Tribolium castaneum: one gene and its partners. The protein of the gene in region 3 binds, or shares a complex with, the protein of the main gene of each other region. Links are inferred from orthologs where the notes say so. Each region holds a gene or a part of one and is shown on either strand. Other genes may lie near its edges. The genes, in order: MED8, MED31 and mediator of RNA polymerase II transcription subunit 25.

Region 1 (3,760 bases), on a different chromosome or scaffold from region 3:
TGTGCTAACATACATCGTGAAAATGTTCAAGTTCCGCTGTACTTATTGGAAAAGCCACCCGTTCCGACCAGCCACACTTCAACCATTTGTTGATAGTATAGTTTCAAAGTCTATAAAATTAATGCTTTTTATAATCTACTCATTACGCTACAAAGTGTTAATCTTTGTTTCCACTGTTATATTTAGTTATTTTTGTAAGATTATATCTTAATAAATAAATATATCTCCGTACACATTAAAAACTATTTCACTAGCGTCCATATGGATGTATTTGGGTGGCACTTTTGATGTTAGTCTTAATAGCAGAGGGCGCCTTATTCATCGTCATGGTTTGCGTGCTGGGGGGCATCTGTCCTTGCCCGGGAGTGCCCCCTGGGCGCCCCTGCGGAGGCACCATCATCCCTCCCGACGTGGGATTGGGCTGACCGTTAGGGTTCGCCCCCATCTTGAGTCCCTTCCCCATTCCAACAGCCGCCACAAGCGAGTGAGTATCAGCCACACTGGAATTCTGCTGCGTACTTCCCCTGGCGGAAGACTCAACTTCCCACTCCTCCCTCGCTTTACTCACCAGTTCCCAAACGTGGGACACAACCTTTTGATACGCAGCAATTTGTTTCTGAAAGTTTGCGTTGAAACATACTCTACCAAAAATTTTAACATACCTGTGCGTTCTCATACGATAAAGTTGACGCCTTGTGTTCCAATTGCATCATTTTATTCTCCGCCAACGGTTCTAGTTTGGTTCGAAGATAATCTGGGACTAAATCATGGGCGAAGGTTGTGACTCTGTGTTCGGTCATTTGGGCCAATTGTTCGTCCCGCTCGGGGGACAACATGAGGGGCAGTACTGTGAGATTTCTGAGGGTGGGGCATTTGTCGTGGCTTAAAACCTTCGAAAGGGAGGTGAGTTGGCCGGACATAAGGGCGTAATTGTCCAAAAATGTGGGCCAGTTGAGGGTCTCATATTCATTCTCCACCTTGTAAATCATTGAAGCTATCGATGATTTTAGGTCGTTGACACGCTGGATTATGGAATCGAGAGACGATTCGAGTTGTTTTTCTTCCCGTTGTTGCATTTTGCTGTATTTTTGGCGCTGTTTACAAAAACATAACCTTAACCACGATGACGGTATGTCGGCTGTGGCATTGCCGTCTCGAACTCCAGGCCTGCATGTTGACATTGTGACGTCACAGTAAGAGTCTAAATGATCATAACCTAACTTTCTGAATTTTTGCAAAAAATTAATTTTAACTATGTTGCGTCCAACGTTTTATGCAAGAAACGACGGAAAAGTGTATCTAAAGAATCCTGATACTGCAAATGTGGTCAACGAACGGTCAACTATAATTTTTATAGTGACATACGTTGTGATTTAAAGTACCTTATCCGTTTGTTATTACCCGAAAAACATATATTAAAGTTTATATTTTTTGATAGTTTAAACCATCTAGCCGTACTTAAACGTCTAAAGTTACGTCTATTAATACAAAAATTCTCCTTATGGGCCTAAATTTTGAATAACCGCGACTTAAAGACGACCGTTTTATCCAAGTTTTAACACAGGTTCTTATGGAATGCAACATGTTATTATTCGCTAAATATGTTTTAAATTAGTCGTAAAAGTGTGATCGAAAGTATAAGAATATGACGAAGAATTTTACGTCATCTCTAGTCACTTCGTGATATTTTATTATAAAATCATCCCGAAAATATTTCACATAAACACGACTGTTCTTGGTAACAGTCCAATTAGTTCGGGGTATCTTTCTTGACCATAATGATCGCAGGGATTCTTGTTTGGGAAAGGAAAACATAGGTACATAAGGACCATTCATGTTAGACACACAATTGGGAACACAACACTTATTCGGCATTTTCTAAAATTAGGAATGCAATAGGATTAAGTATGTTAGGTTTAGAGACTGAAATATGCCTTATCTGCTTATTTATTACCAAATTAAACGATTAAAAACAATAAAACCAAATTTATAAACAAAAATAATGCAAAACTATCCTAACCTATAATTGTCAAAATCACGTCACACAAGACTATAAACACACAAAATTCATTCCCTACAACGCAACCACAAAACAACAAATTCGTAAACAACAACAAATTACTTAATAACACTCTCAAAAACACCAAAAAGTACAATATATTCAAACGATGCGAACAAATGTCACGACTCTTACGATGACGTCACAATAAACAAAAGCTAGTAACCTGACGGCCTGGAGTTCGAGACGGCAATGGCTGTGGCCCTAGAATAACACTTTAATAGAAGCGGAACATAATGGTTGGCAATGAATTCCTAGCTGAAGCCATCTAGCCGCATCATCACGTACTAAAAATGGCGCGAATTTAAAATAATTCCGATTACTTTATATTTTTTTAATTTTTGCTCACGTCAAAATGATGCCAATACCTTATCAAATACAATTATTATGAAAATTTCTTAATTGTATTTGAAAAGGTGGATGCACAGACAGCACAGATGGAAGAATTTTACCCAACATGACACGATCACATTTAATGTTAAAGATATTTATTAAATCCATTAAGTTTACGAAACTAATAGTCGTCACCGAATCGATGATAAAGACATACTTGCAATCAGCCAAACTGGCACCGGTCTGGCACCTTATGTTTGCAACTTCTGTCTATGGGAGTCTCCTCGCAGTGTGACTCACTTGCGGTTCGATCTCAAAAAACTCACTTTTGGGAAAAACGCACCTATCTACGTAAACCTTCTGGAGCTCATTACTACGTTATATTTTTGGAGATCATGTTGTTCCTAACCGATAGTAGGCAATAGTCTAACCTAAAGACGACATTTTGATCCACTATAATAATAAAAATTAACGTGATATTATAAAAAATAAACTCAAATTAAAATCAACAAAAATGGCGATTCAAGTAAAAAGTGAGTGAAAATAAAAATTATTTTTCTAATGTTATTTTCAATTTGCACAAGAAAATTCATAGTGTACGGTCATCAGGGCACTCAGAGGAATCGTTTGGTGTAAGTTTCAGCTTGAAAATCCAGAAGTAGTTAAAGTAAAAAATTACCAAGTTATACTTTATGTTTTATTACGTGGTAAAGTTAACAACACACGTTAACATACCCTTTATAAACGTTTAAACACCCTTTTTCATGAAAAGGTTGACACGAGAAGTGCATTTTTCAATAAATCTCACTGAAATTTATGTCGTTGACTCAAGGTAGATTTGTCTGTCCTTAAACATGTTCAATAATAATTAATAGCGCTCTAGAAGAGCAGGAAAGCACACAAAAAACATTAAAGTTAAAATTTAACACTTCAGAAGAGATCATAATACACCCTAACCCTACTTTCTGAACTTTTGTCCTTATCTGGCAATAGCACATAATAAAGGTAGAGATTTCGACCCTAAATATCCTATCATAACGCTCTGAAAGGGCAGAGATGGAGACAAAATTCATAAAAGTGTAAATTTTGTCATTTTCGGGTGACAACATAACCCTACTTTTGGAACCTACCGAATTTTCAACAAAACGAAACAAACAAACAATGTGGTTATACGCATTGCGATACCACTAATTTTCGCACCAAACTTTCACATTGCCAGTTTCTGTTTAAATAAAAACATGCATTTTTATTTTTCCATTGACTGCATGCGAAACTTTTATAATTTTAGACGTTTATAGGCAAATACATTTGTCATAATTAATTTTTTTACATCAATGCTGTTCTATTTTAAATAATTCTGTGTATGAA
Region 2 (2,666 bases), on a different chromosome or scaffold from region 3:
AAAAGGCGTGTGATTTAAATTTTGACAAGTGATAGACATACGTACAGGACAATTGATGATATCTTCAAGTCTTTCGTTAGGTTTTTTCCCTTTTTTTGGACGAACTAACAAATAAATTGTTGATAATTGAGGACATGAGCGTAGTAATTTCTCGATTAGTACTTTCCCCATAAAACCAGTGGCGCCCGTGATGAGGATGTGTCGGTTTTTGTAGAATTCCGCAACCGCTGATTTATTGCTCATTGTTGAGAAACCTCAAAAACGATTAAGAATTGATTTATTTGCGTGTTGTGTAACGTGCACGCCACTGGTGAAAAAGTTAGGTAATAGGACAGTGGCGTACAAGGAAATGTCAAACACGATTTCGGCAAATATTTGATTGTGGACACAGCACTTGTGATAAGTAGCCGCGTAACAATACACGAGTTTTTGCACAATTGCTTTAACAAATAGAAAAAAATTTCAAAATAATGCAGTGAACTTTTTATGAATTTCGTCAATTCTCATTAATACATTAATAAAATAATAAGTAATGTGTTTCCATTAAAATTAGCAATGATAAATTACTGATATTTACTAAATTAAACAGTGAATTAATTATTGCATCAAATTTTTTATAAAACAAATGATCGAAAAATGAAGCAAAATCATATAAAAGGGTGACTTTGTTTTTTATTTTAATTATGATTACCAAGAAACTTTAATTTAATTAAAAATTGTAAAAATCGAAAAGCATTTTTTTAATTAATTCTTTACTTAAAAAGGATTTAATAGTAATAATAACTGATAATAATTAAACCGTAATTACAGTAAATTAAAAAGAAATTATGATTTTTAAACATATTTGAGACTAAAAACGCTAATCAGGCGTTAAATAGCTGATTAAATAATTAGAAAATTGTTAAATTAATTAATGAAATAATTAATGATAAGATAATTCAAAATTACAATAAATGAGCCAAAAAAAACGCGATTAAAGTCCTCACTTTAAATTTTTTATTGATCCCGCAAAAGTGAAAAGAAAAAATCTCGACTTACTGAAAGGCAGCAACAAAACAATAAAATTGTTCACACACAAAGCAGCAATGTTTTGTAGACAAAGCCGCAACCCATCCACCTGTTTTCATACAAATACCATTACCATATACCACCACCATGGGAATTTCCATGAAAATTCCTCGTGTTGGGGATCATTATGTTAGTCAGTTATTTTCTTATTGGTGGTCAATTTCCCGCTCAATTAAATAACTGGGCTACTTTCACCAGCGATTGATTTTTCCACACGCTTCTTACAACATGTACCGTTTCGATCCGATTTCTTATTATTGAGAATTGAATTACGCAAGAATAATACTTTCAATAGAAGAACAAGGGAATTTGCCAAGCCTCTAATGGTCGCTTTTCTATTGTTGTTACTTGTGACATTTTAAGTGCACGCTCTTACAACACGAACTTGCATTTATCCTAATTGATTAATTAAAAAAATTCGAATTCGAATCACGCGCCATTTTATGCACAACAAACATGGCTGGGAAAGGTAAGCGTCCTTTAATTAAATTTAGGTAATAAACAAGTTTTAGGCTGGAATTATATGTCAGGGGCTCCGGAAACCGACGATCAGCAAAGACTCCGCTTCCAGATTGAGCTAGAGTTTGTGCAGTGTCTCGGAAATCCTAATTATCTCAACTGTAATGACGTAACCTCACTTTTTCGGGAGGGAAAAAATACAATTTTTTGCGTTTTAGTTCTCGCACAGCGTGGTTATTTTAAGGATAGTACGTTTGTTAACTATTTGAAGTATTTGCTTTATTGGAAGGAGCCCGAATACGCCAAATATTTGAAATATCCAATGTGTTTGTATTTTTTGGATTTGTTGCAATATGAACACTTCCGGAGGGAATTGGTGAATGCTCAGTGTTCGAAATTTATCGACGATCAACAACTTTTATTGTGGCAACACTACACCAGGCGGAGGAGTCGTTTGTTAACCCCTTCGAATGTTAACGGGACAGGTGAACAAAGTATTAACCAGAATAGCCAAAGTAACGGACATTTGAGCAATAAAATCAGCTAGGTAGGGTACAAATGTGATTTTTTGGTGGTTAAGTGAAATAAATTATTTTTTTGTTTAGTTACATAAATCACCAAGATCCCACCAATTGCACCAAAATCCCACCCATTTCCATCCAAATCACAATTGATTGGCTGTCGCTGTAATTAAGGTAAGTTCCTTGTTTTTCCTTAAAAATCGTAAAAAATGCAAAATTTGTAACAAACCTCAAAACCAAAAGTCCCTGAACCCGCCCCGCCAAATTCAAATACAAGTTCCGTTTCTCGACCCAATTGGACTTAACTGTACACGAAATCCGCTCGACTTTCATACACCAAAAGTGTACTTGGCTTACACGATTTGTTTATTAATAATTGTTGACATGGTTCTATTAACAATCAAATCAATCATTTCGTTTCGATGCGTCCAACAATTAAAATGAATTTTTTCAAAATAATTTTTGTCGTTATTGTGATAATTTTGTGTGCTAGTGATGCGAAAATACGCAAGAAAAATACCAAAGGTTTGATTTTGCGGCAAAAAGAAACGAATGCGATTAATTTTCTCAGGTAAAAAAATATTGTATCATACAGGATTTTTATGGAAGTTTGCAGAC
Region 3 (3,760 bases):
AGATGTTTTTTTGTTTATAAATACCTGTCCAGGGGAAGTACCGGCCTGATTCGGCTGCGACACCTGCGCAATTGAGGTGGTCTGTATCCCACTGTTGGGATTCTGCGACATCGACGTCTGAACATTTGGTTGCTGATTTTGCTGATTCATAATATTAATTTTCATTTGGGGTTGTTGCTGTTGCGAATTAAGCGGCGAATTATTCCCCACTAAAACACGCAATTTACCTCAAACACCTCAAAAACTTCTCTTTTACTTTGTCCAAATTGATTAACCCCAGTCCCCGGCATAGAATTCGGGGGTTGTGTCAGCTGTGCAATCAGTGCGCTACTTTGGGTGGTATTAACCTGTTGGTTGGGCGGCAGATACGACCTGGGCTGCGTTGGGGGCAACATAGCTGGCCATCTGGGCCGGTTCGCTTGGTGGTAGCCCGGCGGTGCGGGCAATTGCGGGATGTTCATGGGGTTGTTGCCCATCATGGCCCCTCGGGCGTTCACCATACCTACCATGCCTGGTGTAACATTTTGTGAGTGTTGGGGGGTTATACCTTGAGCGCTGGGCGGCCGATAGACGGGCGATGGGCCCACTCCTGAGGGAACCCCGGAGTTGGCGGACGAGGATGACGAGATGGGGCTGTCATTGCTGGCTAAGGGGCTGGGGAGAGAGGTTATAGGAATGGTAGTGTTAGAAATTTGGGTTTGGGCGGAAGTGGCGGTACCGGCAGGGGGGCTCAGGGGGCGCTCCTTCAGGCTGAAGCCGCGCAGGAGGACCAAGTGACGGGGGTCCTTGGCGTAGTTTTTCGTCTGGGAAGCGCTCAAATCACCGCCGGCTTTCTCGAACAGTTTATACAACGAGGGGATTTTGCGCGGCGAGATAATCGACAAATTGATATTTTTCTGAAAGTTAATTATGCAAATTTGGTGGAAGACACTTGGTTAATTACTTCTTGCAAAATAGCTGCTAGTTGCTCAGCTGTCTTCCCTGTGTAAGCATGAGTTTCAAAAACCCCTAGAGAATAAGGGGGCGAGTTACACACTAGAATACAATGCTTTTGAATGTTGCCGTTATTGTCACGTTTTTGCTGCAATTCGTCAAAACATTGAAGGGTTGTGGCTAAACCTTCAGCAATGTTTGCATGAGACTCGCCTTTACCTCCTATAAGTCTGAAATAATTTTTACATTAAGTGATCCTTTTCCTAGTTAGAACTTACTCAAGTTTGTCTATGGCATTTAATACCTTACTGGGGCTTACAAAGGGCCCAATTGTGTCGCTACTGGGGTGCGGTAAGCAATCAGCAGCCTGATACACCACAATTCCGTAATAAGAATTAATCCCTTCTGATAGGAAGTTGCTCTCATCAATACTCCCCTGACTAAAATATCTAAAAGTCCCTCAGTTACAAGAACATATTCTCCAATTAAAAACTACTACTACTACTTTTTCGTATCAGGGTGTAATTTTTATCATAACAAAGCAAGGTTACACTGATTTCTCAGTACCTCAAACCTTGTTCAACTATCCGTTCAGAATTCATCACGAGAAAAAACAGAGAAATAAAAGATTGGAAATGTAGATGTAGATACAACAAAAATGATGATATTTGGAAAGAAAAGTAGTATGGGAATTCGGAAAAGAGGATGAATGGCAATGGGAAGGAAAAATATAGAACAAGTGAAAGACTTGAAGTATCTGAATCAGATATGTACTGTATTATTTTAGTCAATCTTCACTATTTCAGTTAGAAGAGAGTAATAAGTAGCAAGATGTCAGACACAGCCCATATAAAAGAAGCAGCAAAAAAAAACAAATGGGGTTTTAGGAAATGTTTGAAGCTTGGGAGAACGTAAATTTAGTGAAAATTTCAAGAGAAAAATAATAGCTTAGGGAAAAGCACTGTAATGTAGGGACTATTTTGAGCAGAAGTGTGGGGATGGAAGAAATACGAGATCGAACAGGCTAAATAAACAAATGCCAGAGTACATAGTAAAAAAAGGAAGAGAAAAAAATTAAGAGTAGATTAAGGAAAGAGAGCGGTGGGATTTGAAGAGAAATTAAGAATTCTGCGTGAATGCAACAGTGTTGAACAGAAATCAAAAAAGCAAATGAAAATGTTAGATGGAAAGGACGAAAAGACTCCTATGAGAAGAAGGAATAAGTGTGTATAGAAATTAAAAGAATAAGAGAAAGGGGACGAACAATGGAAGAGGAACTGAAATTGAGAGATTTGGACATAGATAGGCAGGAAAGAATAACATGGAAAAAAGAATCGAGGTGTAATACGTAAAATATGCCGTGCTTATTGACGGATGAACTCCTCTCATACTTAAGGAAGATGTAAAGTAAAGATAAGAAAATCATAGCCAGATTTAGACGTAGAAATGAAAGCGAGAACGAATATTGGAGAGAAGATTGGGAAACAGTGTGCAGATTAAGCGGAGAGTGTCACAGTTTGTGGAGGTAAGAGTGTGCAAGTTTGATACGAAAAAAAGTTTTAAACGAAAATGGTAAGGGAAAAGAATGGATGAAAAAAGTGACGGGTGCAAAAGAAAATTGGGAAAGGTAAAGAATATCTAGAATATCAAATAACTTCAAGTAGGACTGTAAAGCCAAATAGGCAATAAAAACAATTTAGCAGTAGTAGAGAAAAACATGTAATACATCAGAAGTTACAAAAAAAAGTAAACTTACTCTAACGAAGGGATGATATAATTGGTTTTTAGGTCATTTATATAAGCACCATTCACTGCAGTTCCCTCGATAACAAAAACGATATCGGCGTGTAAGCCATGATCAGCTGGACACACAACCATTGTTTAGTCAAAATATTAAACAATTTTAATGAAACAATTTAATACAAGCACCAAACCCCGCCATATTGAAAATACCTGTCAAATTTTTAGGGATGTTACGTCAAGTTAATGGCAACACTTTCATTCAGATGAAATTTTATTTTAGCCAAATTATGCAAAAATGTTGTCTGGAAAACTAATCAATTGAATAGAATTATTAGTAGATTGCATTTAACCAAAACTACCTGGCTATTTTCGCCAGAAACTAATAAAATTTAATCCCAGACTGGGATTATATTTTTTCCCCTAGTGTCAGGCGTGTTGACGTCTGCCGTGAACAGCTGATTATTTGTCATCAAACACCGCAAACAGTGAATTAATGCGTCTTTACTTTATCTGAAATAGTGTAACACCATGGCATCGGCGCTAACGGACAAAGTCAGAGAAAGGCGAAGTCGGGTAGGTGCCAATGATTTAAAAAATCGTGCTTTAATGCCGAAATTTAGGTCCTCCTTGGTCCCCTCCCGGAGGATTTTCTCCGTATCAGCACCTCGGTTCAGCAACAACAAGAGGCAGCGGATCGCCAAACAGCCATAGCACTGCACCACCAGCTAAGCGGTGGCCAACAGTACACAAATGTCGTTGGGAGGCTCAGTATCACTGTTGCTCAAGCTAAGCTCGCAAAAAATTACGGAATGACCAGAATGGACCCCTACGCTCGGATTCGGGTCGGGCATTGCGTTTACGAGACGCATACGGACCCGAACGGCGGCAAAAACCCGCGATGGAACAAAGTTATTCACTGGTAAACACATCTCAAAAACTAGCAAGTCCCTACTTTTCCATTTCCAGTTTGTTGCCTCAAGGTATTAATACCATAACGTTAGAAATTTTCGACGAACGCTCATTTACGATGGACGAACTCATCGCCTGGACGCAGTTCCAGATCCCCCAACAGGTACTTGCAGGG

What was found.
Region 1: mediator of RNA polymerase II transcription subunit 25 (region 3) and MED8 share a complex: the UniProt entries of both Homo sapiens proteins name them as parts of the mediator complex. The link is inferred for Tribolium castaneum from reciprocal best matches to the Homo sapiens genes MED25 and MED8.
Region 2: mediator of RNA polymerase II transcription subunit 25 (region 3) and MED31 share a complex: the UniProt entries of both Homo sapiens proteins name them as parts of the mediator complex. The link is inferred for Tribolium castaneum from reciprocal best matches to the Homo sapiens genes MED25 and MED31.

The regions. Positions count from the first base shown.
Region 1 is NC_087396.1:15,801,790-15,805,549, forward strand, and holds MED8 (mediator of RNA polymerase II transcription subunit 8), read right to left. Parts: upstream 2,266-3,760; 5' UTR 1,182-2,265; coding exon 663-1,181; intron 617-662; coding exon 251-616; 3' UTR 158-250; downstream 1-157. UniProt on the Homo sapiens protein: Component of the Mediator complex, a coactivator involved in the regulated transcription of nearly all RNA polymerase II-dependent genes.
Region 2 is NC_087401.1:17,495,492-17,498,157, forward strand, and holds MED31 (mediator of RNA polymerase II transcription subunit 31), read left to right. Parts: upstream 1-1,085; 5' UTR 1,086-1,524; coding exon 1,525-1,537; intron 1,538-1,580; coding exon 1,581-1,688; intron 1,689-1,745; coding exon 1,746-2,074; 3' UTR 2,075-2,131; downstream 2,132-2,666. Other genes in the region: uncharacterized protein LOC656943, read right to left, coding at 46-254. UniProt on the Homo sapiens protein: Component of the Mediator complex, a coactivator involved in the regulated transcription of nearly all RNA polymerase II-dependent genes.
Region 3 is NC_087402.1:9,090,475-9,094,234, reverse strand, and holds the start of mediator of RNA polymerase II transcription subunit 25, read right to left. Parts: upstream 2,910-3,760; 5' UTR 2,812-2,909; coding exon 2,690-2,811; intron 1,383-2,689; coding exon 1,212-1,382; intron 1,164-1,211; coding exon 944-1,163; intron 897-943; coding exon 548-896; intron 503-547; coding exon 257-502; intron 210-256; coding exon 25-209; intron 1-24. Other genes in the region: toll-interacting protein, read left to right, coding at 3,205-3,249, 3,297-3,595, 3,643-3,760. UniProt on the Homo sapiens protein: Component of the Mediator complex, a coactivator involved in the regulated transcription of nearly all RNA polymerase II-dependent genes.